6 linked regions of the Callithrix jacchus genome follow. The main gene of each other region encodes a partner of the protein of the gene in region 2 in a complex. Links are inferred from orthologs where the notes say so. Each region holds a gene or a part of one and is shown on either strand. Other genes may lie near its edges. The genes, in order: STX18, VTI1B, BNIP1, STX5, BET1L and VAMP7.

Evidence for each region.
Region 1: VTI1B (region 2) and STX18 share a complex: the UniProt entries of both Homo sapiens proteins name them as parts of the SNARE complex. The link is inferred for Callithrix jacchus from reciprocal best matches to the Homo sapiens genes VTI1B and STX18.
Region 3: VTI1B (region 2) and BNIP1 share a complex: the UniProt entries of both Homo sapiens proteins name them as parts of the SNARE complex. The link is inferred for Callithrix jacchus from reciprocal best matches to the Homo sapiens genes VTI1B and BNIP1.
Region 4: VTI1B (region 2) and STX5 share a complex: the UniProt entries of both Homo sapiens proteins name them as parts of the SNARE complex. The link is inferred for Callithrix jacchus from reciprocal best matches to the Homo sapiens genes VTI1B and STX5.
Region 5: VTI1B (region 2) and BET1L share a complex: the UniProt entries of both Homo sapiens proteins name them as parts of the SNARE complex. The link is inferred for Callithrix jacchus from reciprocal best matches to the Homo sapiens genes VTI1B and BET1L.
Region 6: VTI1B (region 2) and VAMP7 share a complex: the UniProt entries of both Homo sapiens proteins name them as parts of the SNARE complex. The link is inferred for Callithrix jacchus from reciprocal best matches to the Homo sapiens genes VTI1B and VAMP7.

What each region holds. Positions count from the first base shown.
Region 1 is NC_133504.1:184,727,321-184,731,406, reverse strand, and holds the start of STX18 (syntaxin-18), read left to right. Parts: upstream 1-1,286; 5' UTR 1,287-1,370; coding exon 1,371-1,538; intron 1,539-4,086. UniProt on the Homo sapiens protein: Syntaxin that may be involved in targeting and fusion of Golgi-derived retrograde transport vesicles with the ER.
Region 2 is NC_133509.1:102,657,367-102,660,866, reverse strand, and holds part of VTI1B (vesicle transport through interaction with t-SNAREs homolog 1B), read left to right. Parts: intron 1-1,989; coding exon 1,990-2,181; intron 2,182-3,500. UniProt on the Homo sapiens protein: V-SNARE that mediates vesicle transport pathways through interactions with t-SNAREs on the target membrane. These interactions are proposed to mediate aspects of the specificity of vesicle trafficking and to promote fusion of the lipid bilayers.
Region 3 is NC_133503.1:65,516,282-65,519,781, reverse strand, and holds part of BNIP1 (vesicle transport protein SEC20), read right to left. Parts: intron 113-3,500; coding exon 11-112; intron 1-10. UniProt on the Homo sapiens protein: As part of a SNARE complex may be involved in endoplasmic reticulum membranes fusion and be required for the maintenance of endoplasmic reticulum organization. Also plays a role in apoptosis.
Region 4 is NC_133511.1:120,112,070-120,116,215, forward strand, and holds the start of STX5 (syntaxin-5), read right to left. Parts: upstream 2,801-4,146; 5' UTR 2,703-2,800; intron 2,022-2,702; 5' UTR 2,003-2,021; coding exon 1,778-2,002; intron 261-1,777; coding exon 190-260; intron 27-189; coding exon 1-26. Other genes in the region: TEX54 (testis-expressed protein 54), read right to left, coding at 3,124-3,492; WDR74 (WD repeat-containing protein 74), read right to left, coding at 3,695-3,874. UniProt on the Homo sapiens protein: Mediates endoplasmic reticulum to Golgi transport.
Region 5 is NC_133511.1:131,725,833-131,730,118, reverse strand, and holds the start of BET1L (BET1-like protein), read right to left. Parts: upstream 2,801-4,286; 5' UTR 2,734-2,800; coding exon 2,715-2,733; intron 1,543-2,714; coding exon 1,451-1,542; intron 1,181-1,450; coding exon 1,124-1,180; intron 1,007-1,123; coding exon 839-1,006; 3' UTR 1-838. Other genes in the region: RIC8A (chaperone Ric-8A), read left to right, coding at 3,791-3,874. UniProt on the Homo sapiens protein: Vesicle SNARE required for targeting and fusion of retrograde transport vesicles with the Golgi complex. Required for the integrity of the Golgi complex.
Region 6 is NC_133524.1:151,451,252-151,455,301, reverse strand, and holds the start of VAMP7 (vesicle-associated membrane protein 7), read right to left. Parts: upstream 2,801-4,050; 5' UTR 2,678-2,800; intron 1-2,677. UniProt on the Homo sapiens protein: Involved in the targeting and/or fusion of transport vesicles to their target membrane during transport of proteins from the early endosome to the lysosome. Required for heterotypic fusion of late endosomes with lysosomes and homotypic lysosomal fusion.

The sequences.
Region 1 (4,086 bases), on a different chromosome or scaffold from region 2:
TGTTCTGCATTCATTCCGTTGCAATATCACACACAGTCTCTAACAAACTCAAGTGTATACAACTCATGAGGAAGTGAGAGTGAAAAGGCAAGTAACGTCTTAGTATTATGAAAAGAGTTTTATATTGGTGACCATTTAAACCACTGCATTAACACATATTCTACTTGTGCATTCTCTTTATGAAAAAAAATCTTGAGATTTTGTTTTAACACTGAACCATAGGCCAGGCAAGGTGGCACATGCCCAAAGTCCCCGTCACTCAGGAGGCGGAGCGGGGGAGGATCATTTGAGCCCTGGGGTTCCAGTGAGTAGTGAGCTAGGATGGCGTCTTTGAACAGCCACTGTAATCTCACTGGGCAACATAGTGAGACCCCCATCTTAAACACACACACACACACCCCAGAACCATGAACCAAAAAATGCAGAAGAAACTCATTGACTGACTTGTCATTGTTTATGACTCAAGATTTGAAAACTATGCATGAAGGATGAACAGAATCCAGCGGCATTAGGGTCACCCTTTCACCTCTGTCTCCATCTAAAGTTCCTATTCATCCTTCAAATCTCTGCACAGGTGACGCCTTCTCTCTAGAGCCTCTTTCTCACCACAAATAAGATTATAATAATATTTATTAATTATAATATTTATTAATAACATTTATTAATATGTTTTTATTATTATAATAACAACATATTAACGATAACTACCATTTATTGGCCACTTACTGGGAGCCAAGAAACACCAAAACAGCACGCGTCGGGTCATTTAATTTTCACAGTAAACTCCGAGGAGGATGCTGGCTTCCCTTTACAGAAGAGGTGGCGGAAGGCTGGAGAACAAAGGCCTCTGGCTCTGTGCCCTGCACACCTGCTCTGTCCCAGCACTTATTGCACCCCGAGGGTCACCGTCCACGTGCCTCTGACATGCTCAGGGTGAGTCCTTGCAGTCAAAGGTCAAGGGGGTCTCGCCTTCGCGTCCCCCGCAACCAAATCGTCCGGGCTCAGTGAGGGAGCCACCAGAAGGGAAGGAACTTCCCAGCTTTCCGGTCTTTATGCTCCCGGAGCCCACAAGCCCCAGACAGACATAGGAGAGCTCTCCGTGCTGCTAAACCCTCCAAGCTTTGCCTGGAGAAGGGACTACCCGTGAGCACGTTGCCGGGTCCCTCCTCCTCTAGGCGCGCCAGCTTAGGCCGGAACCTTTTTCCTCCCGCCGCGGTAGCCGGGCGCAGGCCGGAACCTTTCTTCTCGCGCCACCGTTGCCGGGGGGAGGCGTGCGGGGTAGGACCAGTCCTCTAGCTGGCGGATTAGCGCCGCGGTCGCTGGCTGCTGACGTGGGCGGGTCCCGTTTGGGGCTGCGGGTGCGGGTCGCTATGGCGGTGGATATCACGCTGCTATTCCGGGCCAGCGTCAAGACCGTGAAGACGCGGAACAAGGCGCTGGGAGTGGCGGTGGGCGGCGGGGTCGATGGCAGCCGGGATGAGCTGTTCCGCCGGAGCCCCAGGCCCAAGGGCGACTTCTCCAGCCGGGCCCGCGAAGTGGTAAGCTGGTTGCTATGGAAACGGCGGCTTGAGGAGGGGACAGACCTGCGACAGGGACCCCAGGCCCCAAACCAGACCTCGTCCCTTAAGCATTGTGTAAAGAGTGTGGCCCCAAGGAGGACAGTACAGTTGGCCTCAGCCGACAGCTTCTGGGGGAAGGAGCAGCCTTATTTTGAGGAAGGGGGACGCATTATTGGGGAACGGATTTCTCCTTCGGCGGCGGGGTTTAGGGGGCGAAGAAGAAGACGCTCAGAAATCTCTATCTGGAAAGTGCATGGGCGGCTTTGTGAGGTCATGAGATCGCTGTCATTACAGACTTGCACTCGGGAAGTTTCCTCACAGTCCTTCGCTTCCTGTCGAAGCACTGACCACACTGTATTTGCCTGTTCTGTTTGCTTGCCTGCCTCCCACCCCCAGTTGAGATTAAAACCGTATTAAACCGAACTCTTTCTTTACTTTGTCTTCGCAATAAGTAGGACTCAGTTCCGCTTGAGACAGGTTTAGGATAATCTTTCACAGTGTTAAGTCATCTCAACTACTTTCTGTTTCCTGGACAGAGCAGGTGTTCCTTCATCTCCCTGGGACTAGGAACCTTTTCGTTAAGGGAAGGGACAGTGTTGTTTTCATCTCAGAATGCATGACTTATACAGCATTGCTTAGTAAATGTCTGTTGAATGAATGAATGAATAAATGGCTGTCTTTACCACGAGGCAGAAAACTGCACAACGGGAGAGATGTTTGTCTTGTTCCCTATTGTATATGTGACACCAAGTGGGGATCTAGTTTTTGTGGGGCCTAAAGCTTATATAATTCTGTCTCCTCTTTTTAAGAAGAAAACCGCCAAGAAAGGTTGAGAGCTTTGGAAGTTTGAAGTGAGGGACCCTGAAGCTTAAGCTTCATTAATTTCACGCTAAATCTACCTCTGCTTGGCATGCACTTGGCACTGTATAGACATTCAGATATTTTTGAATGAATGTATGCATGCGTGCATTAATGACAGTTAGCTGAAGATACTTAAACCTCAGAAAGGGGATTGGACCAGATGAATACACTTACCCCATTGATGAACATCTATGAAGCACTTACCTTTTGACCAGCCTCATGTTAGAGTAACATGATGTAAAAGGAGTGGTTGAGGATACGGACATAGAAATAAAACAAGTACTGTAAAGCCCTGTAAGTGTTGTGTAGGGCACAAAGAAGAATGTGGTCAGTTCTACCTGAGGATCAGAAAAGGCTTTATAGAGGTGATGATGCTTCAAACAAGTCTTGAAAGAGGATTAGTTGGTTTCAGTACAGACAAGGTGGGGAAGGGCATCTCAGGCTAAGAGCATAGTGTGCGCTAAGGTCTGGAGGTAGGTAATTGTCTGACATAAGTTGGTTCATAAACATTTGAGTGGGACTGGAATGTGGGACTTCTCATAAAAATTGGAATAGAGTGGCAGCAGGGGGAGATCTTGAAGGGCTTTGTATATCACTGCAGAGTTTGAATTTGGCCTTGTAGGTGGGCAGATGTTATATGATAGAGAAAGCACCAAAGATGGAGCGAGCCAAGAGACCAGGTTGTTGTCTGACGGTGCAACTATTAGCTACATGATTTCATTAAGCAAGTTTTAAGACCTTATTTTATTTACCTGTGAATGATCCTTTTTTTTCCTCCTCCTCCTTTTAAAAAACTACCTTGATCCTCTCTATATAACACATCAAAGTGAGAGCTACCTAGGTTGAAATGAGAGGAAGAGAAACAGGACATTCTCCCTCCCTATACTCCCAGTTTGTCCCAAGCACTTCCTGGGGTTCCTTTTGTAGAACTGTGGTATAATATTGTCTTTTGAAGGGCCCCTTCTAACTCTGAAACCACTGATTTATTAGCACTGTGCTAATTTTGAGTCCTGCTCAAGGAAAGGGGGGATTTGGGAATTGGAGAGGCAAGAGGCAACAGTTGGGTTGGCAAGCCCTTTGGAGAGTCCTGTAACCACTTCCACCTCTCCCTGAGTGGTGAAAATGTGTTTTAGGCATTTGAGTTTATGGGCCTCAGAGATAGTAACAGCAACAGTCCCTTAAGGTGCTGAGTTCCCTGTCTTTGGAAGTCATTAAACAGAGTGATGACTGCTTTTTAGAGATGTTTGAGAAGAACTTTGTCCATGTGTCACAGGGTTGGACCACATGGCAGTGAAACTTCCAATTCTGCTATGTATTGATGTGGGTACGTGTCACATCACCTCAAGTGAGTATATGGGCTGTGTTGTTCAGGGACACAGTCCCCCTGACCTAGAGGAAACATATATTCTTTTAAGCAGTTTTGATTTTCTGTTGTCATTGCTTTGTGTGTTATCTTCTATACTTGCAACTGTTTCCCACTCCGCATCTTTTCTTGTGGAAAGTTTAACTAGAAGAACTAGTGATGGATGTCCTGTGCTTTCACTACAGTTAGATGTGTCAAAAGTTTGGTGTTATTTTGTTTGGCCTGGATTCCTTATACAGAAAAGTCTGGTGCACATATCCTGATTCAGATTTAGCCCTGATTGTCAGACCTAAGGAAATGTAG
Region 2 (3,500 bases):
TGATCTTGATTTTGACTGTTTTTTACTAAATGAAGCCAACTGATGGGGATGGGTATTAAGGAGGTTTGACAAACACAAATGGGTAAAACCTGAAGACTCTCCTGAAATATGAGTCTTTGATAATATATTGCTGATGTGAGTAGTAAGGGCATTCTCATACCCTTACCCAAGCAGTCTCTTAAAATCTCTTTTTAAGAGCTGGCCATTAAGATAGGTTACTGGCCAGTGTGGTGGCTCACACCTATAATACCAACACTTTGAGATGCCAGGGCAGGAGGATCACTTGAGGCCAGAAGTTCAAGACCAGCTTGGGCAACATAGGGAGACCCCCATCTCTTCCAAAAAAAAAAAATTACACAGGATTGGTGGTGCATGCCTCTGGACCCAGCTACTCAGGAGGCTGAGGTGGGAGGATCACTTTAGCCTGAAAGGTCATGATCACACCACTGCACTCCAGTGTGGGTGACAGAGCAAGACCCTGCTTCAAAAAAAAGAAAAAAACTGTTCTTTGTTAAACTTACTGACACAGAAAATGTAGCTCAGAGGTGATTCTAACCATGTCCCTTTCTGTCTTAAAAGACAGCATTGTAGCTGGACTTGGTACCTCAGGCAAGACATGCATGAGCTTCAGGTGGGACCTAAAGTTTGTCAGAAGTTGCTTCTCTTCACTTGTGGCTTTTCTTTAAAAAAAAAAGTTTGTTTTTCCTCCAGCTCTATGGAAGCAAGAGTCCTTTGACTCCATTTCATTATACTCTAGCAAACCCATTAAGACTGGGGCCAAAATCCTGGTCCCTGCTAGAACCCTGCAGAAATAGTTGCCCCTGCTTTTGCCATCCCAGAGCAGATGGAGAAAAAAATTCTGTTTTAGCCAGCGAACTGCCTTCTTGCCTGTTGAAGATCAACTTCTCAATTTCCCAGTTATCCCAGTGAAAAAGAAGCACATCTGCATCCTTTTCTCTGTTTTGCATGTGCTTTATGAAGGACCAGGCTACCAGACTGTGGAAACTATCTTCTTCCTAATGGGAGTACTAGGAATTTTTCTTAATACCTGTGTACAGCTGGGCATGTCCATGATACCTGTTTGTAGCCATTCTCCTGTTTTGATTAACATATTGGTAGCCTTTTAAAAATCTAGCTACTACTGATTTGTTTGGTGCTCAGATACTTGTTTTCTTCGAACTCAACAAAATAATCCTACCTTGACCATTCCAGGCAGATGAAAATAATTTAGGGCTGCTTGTGAACATCCCCAGGTGTTACATTTTACTTATCCTAGAAGAATGGAAGTCTGATTCCTCTAAAGCACCTGCTCTGAGGTGGGCCCCTGGTTGTCTCTGACATGGAGACAAACATGATTGATTTTCAGAAAGAGGAGCAGGAAAAGTTTTTAGTACAGTAGACTTCAAAGCACTTCTTGATGGCAGTGTTCAACCGTATATTGAAGAGAGCCAAGAATTTGAAGATTTTGAATCCTGACTCCTTTTTAATTTTATTTTTATAGAGATGAGGTCTTGCTGTGTTGCCCAGGCTATGCTCAAATGATCCTTCTGCCTAGGCCTCCCAAAGGGCTGAGATTAGAAGCAGGAGCCACTATGCCTGGTCCAGACTCCTCCTTTTTGTGTAATCTTTAGCAGGTTTCTGTAAATCATATATGAAATGGAACATTTGCTACCTTATTGATTTGTTATGAGGATTAAATGGAGGATATATAGAAACATGTTTAGTAAGCTCTAAAATACTTTTGTCTCTCCATTCATTCATTCAGTTCATATATTTTGAATGCTTGCTCTGTGCTTGCTGGGCACTGTGCTAGGCATTTGGATTGAGAAGAACATCCCAGAAATGGTCCTGCCTTATGTAGCATATGGTTGAATTATTTACTTGGTGTAGTCCAAATAAATAAGTAGTTTGATTAATCCAAACTAGGCATATTTCCAAATGAGTGAGGGAAGAACCAGGCCATCTACTCACTACTTTCTGCCTTCCCAGCTGGCAGAGATGGAGGAGGAGCTACGTTATGCACCCCTCTCTTTCCGTAACCCCATGATGTCTAAGCTTCGAAACTACCGGAAGGACCTTGCCAAAATCCATCGGGAGGTGAGAAGCACACCTTTGACAGCCACGCCTGGAGGCCGAGGAGATATGAAGTATGGCATATATGCTGTAGAAAATGAGCATATGGTAAGTTTTAGCTTCCTTTTTTTTCCTTAAGGGCCTGTGGTACAAAAATTAACCATATCGTTGGATTATTTCATGTTTTCAGTGTATACTAGAAAATATTTTTTTCACCCTTATCCTCTTTTCTGCATCCAGCTCCTGTTATTCCCTTGGTATATGCTCTATTTAATGTAGCCCTTTCTAATCATATGCATATTTAGATTTCCTTTTATCCTTAATATAATACAGTCTTATAATAAAAATAGTGCTTTGTATATAGTAGTATATAAGTGTTACTTATTTTTTCTGGATTCTGACCCATTGATCTAATTTCTTCTTGATCTTTTTTATTCTTTCATATAAATTTTAGAATCACTTTCTCAAGTATGCCTGGAAAATTCCATTAGGTTTCTAATTTATCAGAGTATTGTTTCAAAATCAATCCAAGCTTTCCTTTACCTTAATGTCAAGATGGCCCAGCAACTGAGATACTGTAGCCAATGCAGGGTGCTTCTCGTGGAGCTTTTTATCATTTTATTCTGTGGTAATGGAAAGTGAGCCAGACTGCTCTCTAGTTTTCAGGATTCTAATTTATAAGATTGGACTAATTGAACATCTGTATTCTGAAACCATCTAAGAAGCTAGTCGTTAAAGAAATTAAACGTCTGAAAGGTTAAATGTGCTGCATTTGGTCTATCTTCCATAAACACAACACAAAGTAAGACTTGCCTGGCAAGTAACACAGAAGAGAGATGGAAAGGGGCCCACCAGTGCAGTCTGAACAGAGGTAGAAAGGCTCATACTACAGTTTTAAACAACTCCTGTTTCATGATGCATCCTGATTATAGTTTAAGAGACATTGAAAATGATATTGGCTTGACATTGCTGATGCAAAACTAGACATTTTGAGGCTGATGTTTTTAAAATTTTCGCACAGATGTACGAGGGATCGTCACAGATTAGAAGCTGACAGATCACTTGAAAAGGGAGGCTGGAAAAGGGCAGGCGGGTGGAGTGTGGTTCTACTGGTTTTATTTGAACCTCATTTAGTGGTTTCCTCATCTACTGGTCTATATGCTATTTATCAAGTGAAAATGCTACAGAGCACCTGACATGGTGGCTCATGCCTGTGCCTGTAATCCCAGCACTTTGGGAGGCTGAGGCTGGCAGATCACCTGAGATCAGGAGTTCGAGACCAGCCTGGCCAACATGGGGAAACTCTGTCTCTACTAAAAATACAAAATTAGCCAGGTGTGTTGGCGGGTGCCTGTAATCCCAGCCACTCGGGAGGCTGAGGCAGAGGCTGCAGTGAGCTGAGATCACGCCACTGCACTCCAGTGAGA
Region 3 (3,500 bases), on a different chromosome or scaffold from region 2:
GAACAGGTACCTTTGCCTTAAAAGATCTCCTCCCTGAAGAAGTTCTGCTTTCTCTAGATTGTCGATTGCAATTTTGCAGGTAAGATTAGCTTTCCTCCATGAAGTCTGATTGCTGGAATGAAAAGGTTCACGTGTGAGTGTGTCTACTCCACCAGGCCATAAGTCAGTTCAATTCACAGCAGTTCCCACCAACAAAGGAGTGTGGGGAAAGGCCACCCAGGCAGGCATGGCCTTCAGAGCCCATCCTACTTCCTGCCATTTCCTCCTCCTGGTCCCCCAGCAACTGTTCTTGTTCAGGTCCTGGTAACCCTCAACCTGGAGGCCACCACAGGGAGGCTCTATAGCTGTCCCTGGAGGCCACCACAGGGAGGCTCTATAGCTATCCCGCTGCCCCTGTCATCCTGAGGGGCTGTGAACATGGCACTCCCCTGTGCACAGCTCCACAATGGCTGGACTTCAGGGAGGCATCCAAACTCTCCAACTCGGCACACAGGCCCCTCTTCTTTCCAGTTGCTTCTAAGGCTGTACTGCTATGGCCTGTGTATTAGTTCATACCATCCCTTGAAAACCATGACTTACTCATCTCCAGTACCTTGAACAACCATTTCTGGCCCTTCAGCTGCTGACTTCATATATATTGTAGGAAATAAAAACTTATGGCCCAGCACAGTGGCTCATCCCTGTAATTACAGCACTTTGGCAGGCCGAGGTGGGTGGATCACTTGAGCCCAGGAGTTCAAGACAAGCCTGAGCAACATGGAGAAACCCCGTCTCTACTAAAAATACAAAAACTAGCCAGGCATGGTGGTGGCACATGCCTATAGTCCCAGCTACCTAGGAGGCAGAGGAGAAAGGTTCACCTGAGTCTGGGAAGTGGAGGCTGCAGTGAGACATGATGGTACCACTACATTCCAGCCCAGGTGACAGATTAAGACCTTGTCTCAAGATAAAAAAAAAAAAAAATCACAAAAAGCCAATCTTTCAAAATATTTCTTCAAGGTTTGTTGTTCTTTCCATACTACAGACCAACCATGAATGACACAAACATGGTGGATGAGCAGCACCCTGATTGCTATGGCTGATCTACATTCTTCATCTGCACTCCCTTGTAGGTGATAACGGAAATTTGGTGAACAGTTTTCTGGGGTTAGAAATGTGACAGATGGGTGTGGTGGCGTACACCTGTAACCCCAGCACTTTGGGAGGCCAAGGCAGGTGGATCACCTGAAGTCAGAAGTTCTAGACCAGGCTGGTCAACATGGTAAAACCCTATCTCTTCTAAAAATACAAAACTTAGCCAGGCATGGTAGTGGGCACCTATAATCCCAGCTACTCTGGAGTCTAAGGCAGGAGAATCGCTTGAACCCGGAAGGCGGAGGTTGCAGTAAGCCAGGATCGCACCACTGCACTCCAGCCAGGGCAACAAGAGTCAGACTCCATCTCAAAGAAAAAAAAAAGAAATGTCACAGCTGTTGATAGACTATAAAAAAGCTAACTGAGTCCCTCTAAGAATCCAACTCATACTTCAGAATTCTTACATAGGTAGCTCAAACCAATTGTGCTAATCCCTGGAAATACTAAATAATCAAAACACAGAGTACATGAACTGACAGGGTGGTTTTCTAATAGCACCTTTATGCTGAAGGTCTTAATGAGTACCCGCTCTACCATTTCACACCTGCCACTTTGAAAGAATCCATTACATTTTGAAACAGTTTGCAAGGGAGTTCTGCAGAGTTTTGCAGAGCATGGGATCCAGAGATGACTGAGGGGCCATACCTCTCCTCAAAGGCCTTACATTCACACATTCATTTAAGAAAAAGACAAGCAAACAGATACTCACTGTATGATGTGACAAGCATGATGACCCAAGCAAGCACAACTACTGTTTCAACTGCCAAAGGTTTTTTTTTTTTTTGAGACAGGGTCTCGCTCTGTCTCCGAGGCTAGAGTGCAGTAGCATGATCACGACTCACTGCAGCCTCAACCAAGCCCACTGCCCTCCTGCCTTGGCCTCCCAAGTAGTTGAGACTGCAGGCACACACTACCACTCCCAGAGCTAATTTTTCTTTTTTTTTTTTAAATAGATGGGGTCTTGCTTTGTTGTTCAAGGCTGGTCTTAAGCTCCTGGGCTCAAGCAGTCCTCCTGTCTCGGCCCCCAGAGTGCTGGGATTACAGGTGTGAGCTACTGCACCTGGCCCCAAAGTATAAATTGACTGCTTTCTCTGCTCTGGCCTGTAACGCCACATCGTGGATAAACGTTCCCTGCTTTAAACCCATGCTAAGCTGAGTGTGTCCGTCATAACTTACTATACTTTATACAAGGGCTCCTCTGTACTCAGTGTTTATAATCTGAGTAGGCTTGGTGGCTCAGGAAAGCAAAAGCCATCATAACATAAAGTAATCACGAAAGAGTCAAGCCCTGGATCACTGCCCGTCACTCATACAGCCCTCCGTGCTTACACTGGCCTCCCTGTACTTGTGTTTTTGCCAGTTAGTGTCTTCCTGGCAGCTGACTGTTACATACACAGCTGCTTTCAGGGAAGATGATGCTGGCAAATTGCTCAAATCAGAAGCAAAGCCACAAATACAGATCTGGCAGAGGCAGAACACTGAACAAGAGATAAAGAGAAAATCCATGGGAATGATGACTTAGCAGGAGCTTCAAAAGAGAATGATCTAGCTAGGCACAGTGGAGCGTGCCAACTACTTGGGAAGCTGAGGTGAGTGGATCGCGTGAGCCCAGGAGTTTGAGGCTGCATTAAGCTATGACTATACTCCAGACTGGGCAACAGAGTGGGACCTCATTTCTAAAATTTTTTATTTTTTATTTTTTGGAGACAGAGTCTCACTCTGTCACCAGGCTGGAGTGCAATGGTGCGATCTCAGCTCACTGCAGCAGCCTCTGCCTCCCAGGTTCAAGCGATTCTCCTGTCTCAGTCTCCAGAGTAGCTGGGATTACAGCCACCCACCCACCATGCCCAGCTAATTTTTGTATTTTTAGTAGAGACGGCATTCTACCTTGTTGGGCAGGCTGGTCTCGAACTCCTGACCTCAGCTGATCTACCCACCTCAGCCTCCCAAACTGCTGAGAATACAGGCATGAGCCACCACACCTGACCAAAAATAAAGTTTTAAGAAAGAGAGAGAATGATCTGAATACCTCAAATATGTTTGGAAAAACCCTCTTTAAGATTTGTACAAAAGTCAAATGTGAAGAGAAAGGTACTGGTTCATGTTGTCTGACAATTTCATTGGAAAAGTTAAACCTCTCCCAATCCAATAACAAGAAATGGCACCTAGCTGTAATTACATAATCAAGGATTAGCATGCACCTGCAATTATAACCTCAATTTTGGTTTTATTTTTTGACCTCATTTGTTTAATTTACGGTTTTTGTTGCATTTTTTTTTAATAGCATCCCACTCAAAAACCTTCTAAATTTTGGTCCACCTTAAGTAGGTCTTCCTTTTGTAGAATTTTTCTGTTGCCAATTATCT
Region 4 (4,146 bases), on a different chromosome or scaffold from region 2:
TGTTGCTAAGGTCTTTCCCAATGCGCCTGCAAACGACCACTAGTGAGACTGGGAAAGGGCAGGAGAAGGCCTTTTCCCATATAAGCTCCAGCACAACCAATCCCAGACTTCACAGCCAAGGCCACTGAAGGCAAGCCTACTTTTCTTCAGACATTGTATCACCCCACCAGAAAGCTTCTCTCAACTCACTTGGCCATGAGGGTGAATTCACTGCGCTGTCGGACAGCACGCAAAGCTGGCTTATTTGTCTGGATTCCATTCTGAAAAGCAATGGCAGGAGGTGACAACTTTAGATCCCCCTTCCCCAGTTCCAGTTTTCACTCTTCCTCAGGTGTCCACTAAACTATCTCTAGTACTGGTGGCATCCATCCAATGATCTAGATTTATCAGTGGTAGTGGTTTAGACTCCAGATTTGAAGACAAGTAAACCGGAGTTCAAATCTTGACTCGCTACTTACTAGCTAGGGGTTTTGGGAACGAGTTACTTAAAACATTCTGAATCTCTTATTTCCCCTTCTGTAAAATGAAGACAATCCACACCTCTCCGCTTCTTGTTGCTAAGATTAAATAACAAAAAAGCTGAAAAGTACTTTCATCAACTACCTGGTACATTGTAAGCACTAAATAAATGGTAGCTTGTATTGCCATTCTATTCCTCAAATCGGGAAGTCAGTGAGGATGACTGCAAAGCCCTTGGAGATCACATAGAAGAGCAGCTTTACCAACAGATGAATAGTTAAAAAAAAACTTTTTTTTAACTGTTCTGTTTTTGAGACAGGGTCTCACTCTGTCTCCCAGGCTGGAATATATGATCATAGCTCACTGTGGCCGTGACATCCTTGCCTCAAGCGATCCTCCCGCTCAGCCTCCCAAGTAGCTGGGACTACAGGATACACCACCACACCTAGCTAATTTTTAACTTTTTGTAGAGACAGGGTCTTGCTATATTGCCCAGGCTGGTCTCTAACTCCTAGCCTCAAGCAATCCTCTGGCCTAGCCTAGGCCTCCCAAAGTGCTGGAATTACAGGTATGAGCCACCGTAACCAACCCATTGATTTTGATACAAATTACTGATCTAGGCCAGGTGTGGTGCCCAGACCAACCTGGGCAACATCGTGAGACACTGGCTATATCAAAAAAATAAAAAAATTAGCTGTGTGGTACATCCATGTAGCCCCAGCTGCTCAGGAGGCCGAGAGGTAAGAGGATCCTTTGAGTACAGGAGTTCAAATCTGCAGTGAGCTATGATCACACCACTACACTCCAGCCTGTTGATAGAGCTGAAATTAGATCTCAAAACAAAACAGAAACAAAACAACAAATTACTGATATAGAAAAATGTCCTTCGTCTTACAGAGATTAAAAACTAAGAAAGACATAACTAGATTAACTAATTTTCTCATGGTCACAGAGCAAACTTATGGCAGAAGTATACTGGAAAATTCAAGGTGGATGTCTCTCAGCTAAAGGCTCTTCCTACAACTTGTTCCTTATTCACACCAATTATATTGCAGCCAAGTCTGGCCCTGAAGTACTCTCTCCAGAATAGCAATCCTGCACTCCAGGGGATTCCTCATTAAAAAATGTCTAAGTCCTTGCCTCTAATTAGCCAGCCGACCTCTTCTCTGTTACTTATAGCAGACCTTACTAGCCCCATCCAAGCCTATCAGTTCCATCAGGTTTCCCCAAGAATTACTTCAGTTAACAGTGCTGGAGCACAGTCCTTCCTAGATTTGAGTAAGAGTCACTCCTCACCTTTTCCACTGCAGGTCCTTACCTGACGGCTCTGCAGCGACTTGCAGGCAGACAGAAACTCCTGGGTCCGATCCCGGCAGGACATGGTGTCGGGAGGGGGAGGGACGAGGGCCACTGGGGGGGGCAGAGGGGCGATGTCGTTGCTGCTACTGCCAGCAGTTGCAGGGGACAGGACCTGTGTCTTTGAGAGACCCAGGTAGACACCCTGATCCGTGTTCTTAGACCCGTAGCGTTTCCGCGGGATCATTGAGACGCATAACCTCGGACTGTTGTGGAGGGGAGAGTGTCATTTCCCCAGGCAGCTTCTTTACCCAAACTCCCCAGCCCCGTCCCAATCAACAAATCCTCGAGCCCCTTCTGCACTTTTTAAAGACTTTCGCGCCCAAGGCGCTCGCAGATCCTGGAGCAGGCCCGCAGCGGAAAGGGCCCCGATTTTCCCCTGGCCCAAGTCGAACCCTCTTCAGACTCTTCTTTCAACTTGGCTCTGACGGCCAAAACGCGGGCCGAGGACCCTGAAGCAGGGAGAGGGCCCGAGCCAAGTCCTGTGGTCCTGAGACTCTGGCCTGGCCTGTGTAACTGCCCCTACCCAGCCCTTTTGTATCTGCGGTTTCCTTCGGCCAGGGAGAGCGGGTGACGGACCTCCAGAGAGGGACACACTTCGGTGGGCGGAGGGGCAAACCTCTGGGTGTTTATTTGAAACAGGAAGTCCCACCCCCCGCCCAAGGTCCGCCTTCTGGAAGACTTCAATCACTCATTAGCTAAGGCCGACGTCTCTCTCAACAGAGGCTTTCCTAATTGGACGGCAAGGAATTCGCTCACCGGGAGCCGGGCCGGCAGGACTTGCCCGCTCGCCCCTGGTTCCCTTCCCCCCGCCAGTCGTCGCCCCCGTAAAACCACTACCCCGGAGCTGACACGGTGTCCAGACACCCTCTGAAAGCGAATCTTACCTCCCCTCTGCCGCCTGCCGCCGCCACCACTGCCAATCTCCCCGGCCGTCACCGCCTCCTCCCTGGGAACCGAAGCCGCCGAAACCCGACCAAAGACTGGAAGCGGCCACGTCACCCACACGTAGCCCCACCCCCGGTGACGACGGGGCGGTCCCACACGTTTTCGAGCCCGGCTATCCGAGAGACACGCCCCTCACCAAACGCAAGAGCAACCCCACCATCCCATTGGCTAAGATACCACCATGACCCCGCCCCTGAAGACAACAGCCGGAGCCCAGGGGGCTGGGCCCGCCTCCGGGGAGGAGCCTTAAAGAGCCAGCCGCCCGGAGGTGTCCGCGCCCCGTCCCCAGAACGGTCTTGCAGGTTCACGTCAGAAATTTTATTCTCTGGAGGTACGGGTGGACTAAGAGCGGGTCTGGAGTCATCCCTTCTCCGGCTCCTCCTGGTTGCCTTCTCGGATCGGAGTCTCCTTCTTCCGAACCACGTCTGATTGCCTCTTGCTTGCCCGCGAGGAGCCCCGACGACTGAACAAGGATAGCCGCCGCCACAGCACAGTGATCAGAAGGCTTTCGTTCGACTTGTGATTCCGGTGGTCTGGGGCGTTCACGTGGATATTTTCGGCGCCTGAGGGGACGATGAGGCCTCTGAGCTCAGCCCTACCCTCAGGAAGCCCCCTCTCCCGCTCCCTGGGCCCTCTTCTTTTATCTGTGGCCTCACCTTCCCCGAGGTCCTCGGACTCTTCTTCCTGCTCATCAGACATCTGAAAGTCCTTGTCTTGGCAGCAGCCCATGGCCCCGCGCGGCCCCAGACTCCGTGCCACCCACACCAGCCTGCCTGGCTCCAGGCCCGGCTTTGTGACATTAGGTATCCCGTCACCCCAGCTCAGGGAGCCCCCACCTCAAGCTACCCCTCATTCCTTTCTCCCATCACAAAAGGCTCAGGGTCATGGAGGGTGTTTAGCTGTTTATTTACAAACTGGGCACAGAGGGGTGTCAGGGGCTGGTGGACCCAGGCCGCTTCTTCTTTCTCCGCCTGGTTTGGAGAGCTCCTTGGGTCTGCTCCAAATCTGAGAGCTTCCGCTTGGCAGCTGCCTCCAAGGATGCCCAAAGTTCATCTGTCTCTGTGTCTTCTAGGGGCACGTTGTTGGGTTCTTGAGGTTCTTGGGGCTCATCCTGGTGAGTGGGAAGAAGCTTCACAGTCAGGGGGGCCGGGCACAGTGGCTCCCGCCTGTAATCTCAGCACTTTCGGAGGCCAAAGCAGGATTGTTTGAGCCCAGGACTTAGCGACCAGACTGGGTAACATAAGGAGACCCCGCCTCCACAAAAAGAAGTAAAAAACTTCTGGGTACCACCACCTTTATTCCCCACTCCCAGAAAGCAGCCCCATCCATATTCTTGGCAATAACCCTCTCAGGATTTTAACTGTTAATGCCTCTCAGAGAAAT
Region 5 (4,286 bases), on a different chromosome or scaffold from region 2:
AGGCGGCAACTGGAGTCCTCACAGGAACCTTCCTGTGTAGATCCACAGGTTTGCCTGACTCTGAAATGCCAAACAGGCCCACTTCTAGGTCTGCTCTCCCGAAAACACGTCTTTGGTGCTGGGCTGATCCTGACTCCTGAGAACGCAAGTTTCTGCTCCTGGATACAGTCACATGACCCAGAAGGATCCAGGCGCAGCCACTAGGCCAAGGCTGCAGTTCACTCCATCCACACCCCAGTTCTCCCCAAGGGTCTCACTTCATCCGCAGGACTGGAGAGCAGGCAGAGAAAACTCACAGCAGAGTAGCCCACGCTGGTCTGCCCATGCCTAGCAACCGTGGCCAGAAGGAACCGTCATCTCCAGGCTGAGAGGCCTCAGTCGGAGGAGATGGCACTCACTCAGGGTTCACAGTCCCTTCCTGTGTCAGCTCCAGGCACCTTGGATCACAGACATGGCCTCACCCAGACAAGGACACAGCCATAGGGCCTTAAGATGTCAGCGTCCCAAGAGCTGGGAGAAAGGCTGCAGGCCTCAAGTGGCTACGTCTGGGATTCAACAGCTGCTGCGCTTGGACCTGGCTCCTCCAGACATGCTGTGGCCCCAACTCTGCTGGTGTCTCTAGCACCTGGGGGAGGAGGGAGGGGCTGGCCCTTGGTTTCCCCAAAAGAGAGTCCCTTCCACAGCCAACATGAGCTCATCAGGTCACAGGCTGCCACAGCCTCCTGCCCCACAGGAAGAAGATTCCAAACCCACAATTGTAATTTCAAAGGAGTATTTTGTAGGTAAGTTCTCTGGAGCCCAAGACGCCAGGCACCCAGAGACACCAGCTCCCACTGGTTCACGTCCTTGCCCTCGACAAGAAGTAGGAGAGGATGAAGAAGACCACAATCAGACCCATGGCCATGCCACACAGAAGCTTCCGGTTGTCCCGTCCAGACCTTGCCATTGCGGAAAAGCGCTTCACACTCCCTGTAAGCAGGCCGGTCATGCTTGTGAAATCCGAGTCCTAAAGGGGGAATCCCAGCAAGATCACACAGAAGTGGTGATTTCACCACCCACCCGCACCAGTGCTGAAGGAGACACTGCAGGCTCTACAGCAGGTAGTGTTGGGGCAGGCCCTTACCATGCCATCCAGGTACCGGTTCTGATCCTCTGCGTCCCTGTCGATGTCCAGGGCAAGCTGTTCAGCACAGAGAGGGCAGGGTTGGGCCAGAGCAGACACATAATGCAGCACTCACCCTCCCCAGACCAGACAAGCCCTGCCAACAACTCTGCCAGAGTGCTGCAGCAGCAGAGAGGTCCAGGTGGGGCCTCATGCAGGTGAGCACAGCCACAAAGCACATGAGGATAGAAAACTGCCTGAAACTCCTCTGGGCCGTCTGCCTTTCCTCTGACCCCCACCCCCCAAGGGCACATGGTAGAGGTAAGAGGACAGGAGACCACCACTGACCGATTTGAGCCTGGTGACTTTGGAGGCCAGGCTGTCGGTCATTCGCTTGTTCTCCCGGTCTAGTATCTCTTCCACAGCACCAGGACTCTGACCTGAGAAGAGAGAGAGGCTGAGGGGTTGCATCCACCGGTGAGCACGGCCCCTGACCCGTCGCTCCAACCACATCTGGGTGAGTTGGAAATCCAGGGGGACTGGGCCCTGTGTCTGCTGGGCAGGTGGCAGACACAAGGCCCTAACCAGGTTCCAGCAGGTGGATCTTGCACATGTGAGGCAGGCTGCATAAAGAACGATGTGTGTAAGTAAGCGCATGTCATGTGAACACACGCCCTGTGTACACATCCAGGTGGGGATGGGCAAGCACCCACAACAGGCTCGGTGCAACCAGCAGTTTCCCACACTGTGTAGCAGAAACTGCACCCAGCCCTGGGATGCTGGTAAGATGTGACACTTGCATCCATGGAGGTCCCATCTGTGTAAAAGTGTAGGAAAGGCTTGGGGAAAGTACCCAGCAGAGCAGTAGGAAGGCTCCTACAGGGGCGACTTCAGAGCTGGCTCCTGAAGAGGTGGCAAGGAACCAGGACAGAATGTTGAGAAGGCGCTTTACCGCACAAAAAAAGGTCTGAGCCAAGCTCCCAATTCCCCACCATGGGAGCTGAGGTCGACCAAGAGAGGGATCCTTGGTCTGCATCCCACAGAGGGCTTCCCGCAACACCCAGAGCATAGTGCTTGCAGCGGCCTGGCCTGTGATGTGATAGGCTGGGCCAGGTGATAAGGAATTTCTGTCACATCAGGTAGGTGAGAACCACCTGCTGCCTAGCTTCAATGTAAGCAACGGGTGCAACACAGACAGGCAAACATCAATATCCCACTTTGCAGACAAGAACACGGGCTCCGGGAGGGGGACTGGGGCCATCGAGGCCCAAGTTAGCAGACGCCTGCTTGGACACCAACGGTGCACGCGTGGCCTGTACTCCTAGGGCCTGGCCCCGGGACCTGCCGAATGCGGAGGCTCCCGCACCCCGAACCCACGCAGAACGATCTCACAGGGAATGGCGGAGAGTTGGGGGACCCCGCAGCTGCGCGACCCCTCGCTGGAGCGGCTAGGCCGCCCCCTCGGACCCGGAAGGATCCGAATCTGCCCCCGTGACAGGGTCCTCTCCGCCGAGGACAGTTTAGAGGCAGGCGTACGCGGCTCTGCAGGTAACAGCGTCGGCTCCGGCCGGGCCCGGCCCCGCCCCCAACGACTCCGCTCTCTGGCGCTCACCCCTAGCCCAGTCCGCCATGGTGCCTTCCCCGGCTCTTCAACGCCGACACCGACGCGGCAACCGCCGCCTCGGACGTGGCGCAGTCAAGGGGCAGGACTTCCGGCCCCGCCTCCGCAGCGACCACGCCCCTATATGCCCCTGCCCCTTCCGCCTTGAACTCGCTGACTTCCGGCTGAGGGCTACGAGTTGGGAACCGCCGGTCGCAGGAGCGCGGCACGGATGTGCCTTTCATTTTCCGCACCGTCCCAGGCTGGCGTGCAGTGACGCGATCTCGGCTCACTGCACCCTCCGCCTGCCGGGCCAAGCAGCCCTCCCGCCTCGGCCTCCCAAGGTGCTGGGATTACTGGTGTGCGCCACCGCGGATGTGACGTTTGTTGTTCCTGTGAGCGTAGGGCGGGGCGGGGCTGTTGGCTCGGTGCCAGGACTACGGTGTGGGATAGACGCTTCCGTGGGTTAGGTCCTAACGGCGGGGAAGGATTCACAGGCGCGTCATGAGGAGGGAGCAGGCCCCCCCGAGCAGGAGCCCTGTTCCCGGCCACTTCCTGTCGTCCGGTGTCAGCAAAAGCAGCGTTTCCTCGCTGCCCGTTTTGAAGCACAGCCTCGTGTCCTTTGGTGTTTGCTTGTGTGCCTTCCCCTCGGGAACAAAAGCTCCGCGAAAGCATGGACCTAGGAGTCCCGTTCGCCTGCGTTCCCCAGCAAACGCCTAACGAACCCGATGGCCCAGGACTGAAAAGTCCCCCACTTCGGCTCCCCCTCCACACCCCATCCGTTCTGTGGAGATCCAGGGGCGGCGCTGTGTGTGTGGCAGGGCGAGGTGGGGGCTGAGATCCTTTCCCGTTGGAAATTCCTGCCCAAGAAGCGCGGGTCACAAGGAGAGGGGTCAGTTCGGTCGAGGGCGACTCGGGTCTGGAAACCTTCGAACCGCCGCTTCGGCTCCAGGCCGCGCCCCCTGAAGGCGCCGCCCGACGCCGCACCCCGTCCCGGCCTCCCATGCGCGCTGGCGCGGAGCTCTCTGGGCCAGGGCGGGGCCGGCGAATTGCGGCCCGGAACGGCTGGGGCGGGTCCCGGGGGCGCCATGGAGCCCCGGGCGGTTGCAGCAGCCGTGGAGACGGGGAAGGAGGATGTGATTATGGAAGCTCTGCGGTCGTACAACCAGGAGGTGAGCCGCCGCCGGAGGCCGGAGTCGGGCACGCGTGGCAGGGACGGGTAGGAGAGCGAGGCAGGGGCTGTATCCGGAGGCCGGGGTCGGGCACGCGTGGCAGGGACGGGTGGGAGAGCGAGGCAGGGGCTGTATCCGGAGGCCGGGGGGGGGGGCACGCGTGGCAGGGACGGGTAGGAGAGCGAGGCAGGGGCTGTATCCGGAGGCCGGGGGGGGGGGGCACGCGTGGCAGGGACGGGTAGGAGAGCGAGGCAGGGGCTGTATCCGGAGGCCGGGGTCGGGCACGCGTGGCAGGGACGGGTGGGAGAGCGAGGCAGGGGCTGTATCCGGAGGCCGGGGGGGGGGGCACGCGTGGCAGGGACGGGTAGGAGAGCGAGGCAGGGGCTGTATCCGGAGGCCGGGGGGGGGGGGC
Region 6 (4,050 bases), on a different chromosome or scaffold from region 2:
CCACCTCGGCCTCCCAAAGTGCTGGGATTACAGGCGTGAGCCACCGTGCCCGGCCTCCATTCTTGTATCATGAGCAGACCATTAAATTAACTGGCCCACTAAAGTAAGGCGGTAGACAAGGTGCTCGGGAAGAGATGGGAGATCATTTTAGGAGGAACGGATGAAACAAGAGAAGGCATAGAGGTGAGAACAAGGTAAAGAAGGTACATAAACTAGCCTGATGAGATGGAATGGTCCACCTTTGGTGAATGACAAGATTGAGGAATACAGCTGATGGCCTTACATAGAGAAGGTCTTGTATAAATCATGTCATTTAAATTTGATCAGATATGGAGTTTTTCTATTTCAGTTCAACACATATGTACTGAGGGCTTGCTATATGCTAGTCAAAGTAGACACTGGAGGTATAAAGTTGATGAAGAAGGGACTCCTATACTTGAGGGAGCCATGGTACAATGAGGAAGACAGATATAAATAAATGTGATAAAGTGTAATAAGTGAATAATCTAAGACTGTCCACAACCACTCAGGAAATTTCTTAATGCTTTGTGATGATCTCACCTTGGGTGAATAACAGGAATGTAGGTATCAGCTTATGCCTTAGGAATTTCCTCACTATACTGTTAGGATTATTTCTCCGTGGAAGAGAGGCCAAAGTGTCTATTTTACCCTACTTTCCCAGTGCTCAGCACGGTGCCTAGCAGTTAACCTTCCCTCAAGTATTTTTTTTCTTTTCTGAGACGGAGTTTTGCTCTTATCCAGGCTGGAGTGCAATGGTGCGATCTCGGCTCACCGCAACCTCCGCTTCCTGGGTTCAGGCAATTCTCCTGCCTCAGCCTCCCGAGTAGCTGGGATTACACCCAGCTAATTTTTTGTATTTTTAGTAGAGACGGGGTTTCACCATGTTGACCAGGATGGTCTCGATCTCTTGACCTTGTGATCCACCCGCCTCGGCCTCCCAAAGTGCTGGGATTACAGGGTTGAGCCACCGCGCATGCCCTCAAGTATTTGTTGAATAAGTAAGTGAACATTGAGCATACTTTGGTTTTAAATACACTATAAATGATAGATAACTTTATATTCAGAAAGACCTAGTAAGAATAATATTTTCACAACCAAATCACCTTTTGAAGTAAGATAAAGCAGTTGAGCTAACAGTAATCCAATCCCCAACTCTTCCATCTGGGAGTTAGAAAGAATAAAGTAACTACAGATAAACCAAGAATTCGGATGCAATAAGCTTGGAGGAGATAGAAAAAATGAAGAATAAACACTGCTTAGAAAGGGGAAAAGGAGAGGTGTTTATGAAGTCAGGTTATAGATCAAGATTATTCCTGTTAGTATTACAACTATTCTTTCTGGATGATGCTCTGAGACCCAATCCAATCTCTCTGACTTTCTTAGGATAGGATCCCACCCTTTCAAGTCAACCACCTGTTTTATTTCACATTAGGCAATATATAACATAATCCTATTTCTGTTTTCCCCTCTAGACACAAACATGTAAGTTCCTGAGTGTAGCAACCTAAGTCTTGTTTACAGCTGTATCCCCTGCACTTAAAAAGAGAGTCGGCCAGGCGTGGTGGCTCATGCCTGTAAAATCCCAGCACTTTGGGAGGCCGAGGCGGGTGGATCACGAGGTCAAGAGATCGAGACCATCCTGGTCAACATGGTGAAACCCCGTCTCTACTAAAAATACAAAAAATTAGCTGGGCATGGTGGCGTGTGCCTGTAATCCCAGCTACTCAGGAGGCTGAGGCAGGAGAATTTCCTGAACCCAGGAGGTGGAGGTTGCGGTGAGCCGAGATCACGCCATTGCACTCCAGCCTGGGTAACAAGAGCGAAACTCCGTCTCAAAAAAAAAAAAAAAAGAGTGTCAAGCACAGATCAGCCACTCAATAAATATTTGTTAAACATACGAATGGATCTGCTCTCAGCCACAAGTATTCAAAGGTAATTAATATCCCTAACATGGCTGTATCTCTGGGATCAAGGGAGGGAGAATGGAGATACAGGTAGTTGAAAGCAATAAATGAGGCCGAATGAAGACAGCTGATTGTGAGAGTTATGGGAGTGGGAGATGTAAAGCGTTTACCAAAGACGCTAGCACGTGGTCAGAATTTGATAAACATTGGCGGTTAATAAAAACACCAAACAGGTCTGAAGATGAGGAAACAGGTCTAGGCGGAGATACAGTTCCTAGCCAAACAGAGGAAGAAGTGGACTGTCAATAATGAGCAGTGGAGGAAGGGTGAATAAGGGGCCAGGAACCCACGAAGGAGCATAAACAGCCAGAAGTAGGTGAAGCGGAAAGTGACGTCATCGAATAAGGACGCAGAGAGTTTTTAGAAGACTCGGTCGATCTCAAGCGATTTAAATGGTACAGAAAAGTCTTGTAGAATGCAAACTGAGAGAAAATTAACATTTTTTCCCTCCTGTAATGACAGCTTAAGTGACGCATTCTGACACTCTTTTTAACTCGAGGCCTTTCCAGCGGCAAAAGACGCACCTCGCCGAAACCGGACCTGCCCGACAACCGGTACTGTGTACACCAGAGAAGCCCAAGTCACCCTTACACTGCCTACCCGCTCCACCCCAGCACCTTTCCGTCGACACCTTCCCTCTCCCTCCGCAGTTGTGTTTCCGCCTCCCACAGAGCGCGCCCCACTCCATTTACCTGTCCGGGCACCTTCTGAGGGCGCGCGGGCTCGGGACCTAGGGGCGCGGGTCAGCGCAGGGTCGCCAACTGCCCGCTCCCAGAGGAGGCTGGGACCCGACGCCGCTAACTTCCGCGTGAAGCGCCCCGCCTACGCGTGGCCTCTTGGGAATGGGAGCGCTCCTCCAATGGCAGCAGGCAACAGGGCTAGGCCTGCTAAGTTCCCAGCCCCGCCCCCCCCGCACTTCCCAGGAGCCGTAGTGCATTCCGGGAGTAGTAGTTCCGACTGGCCACGTTCCGGGGACAGCTCTGGCCGTAAACAACGTCAAACGCCGTATAGGGATCCACGCAAATGAGAGAATGCAGGCTAAAGATTCTACCTGTAATCCCAGCACTTTGGGAGGCCGAGGCGGGTGGATCACGAGGTCAAGAGATCGAGACCATCCTGGTCAACATGGTGAAACCCCGTCTGTACTAAAAATACAAAAAATTAGCTGGGCACGGTGGCTCGTGCCGGTAATCCCAGCTACTCAGAAGGCTGAGGCAGGAGAATTGCCTGAACCCAAGAGGCGGTGGTTGCGGTGATCCGAGATCGCGCCATTGCACTCTAGCCTGGGTAACAAGAGAGAAACTCCGTCTTAAAAAAGAAAGAAAGAAAGAAAGAAAAGATTCTACCAGCAGTGAGTAGGCGGCATAAATGAAGAGCCACGCTTGCCCCGTCTCTCCTGCTTAGTTTCAGTAGGCAACATTGCCTGTTTCTTCACCGACAAAATAGAATTCAGCTGACAGGAAGTGCCTCTATTTTTGCCATGAAATGTTCTTATTTTCTTGTACCCCTCACCAATCCTTTCTCCCATTCTTTAGCAATAATAATGATAACTACTACTCTCCTTTGATCTAAACCCATCCCTCTTCCATCCCTATTCCCTGTTGCCGAATCAGAGTCAAGCTCTTCTTTTATTTTTGAGACGGAGTTTCGCTCTTGTTACCCAGGCTGGAGTGCAATGGCGCGATCTCGGCTCACCGCAACCCTTCTGGGTTCAGGCAATTCTCCTGCGTCAGCCTCCCGAGTAGCTGGGAATACAGGCGCCTGTCACCACGCCCAGCTAATTCTTTATATTTTTAGTACAGACGGGGTTTCACCATATTGGCCAGGCTGGTCTCCTGGTCTCCTGGTCTCCAACTTCTGACCTCATGATCAGTCCACCTCAGCCTCCCAAAGTGCTGGGATAACACGCATGAACCACTGCGCCTGGCCCTTATTTCCTCCTTTTTGAACTCCTTTATTCTCTTAGCTCTATGCAAGATGCTATACACTCCCGCTTCTCCTCTTACCTCTGTGGCAGCTCTTCATTTTCTTTTGAAATGTTCACATTCCATAGGGTTCTATCCTA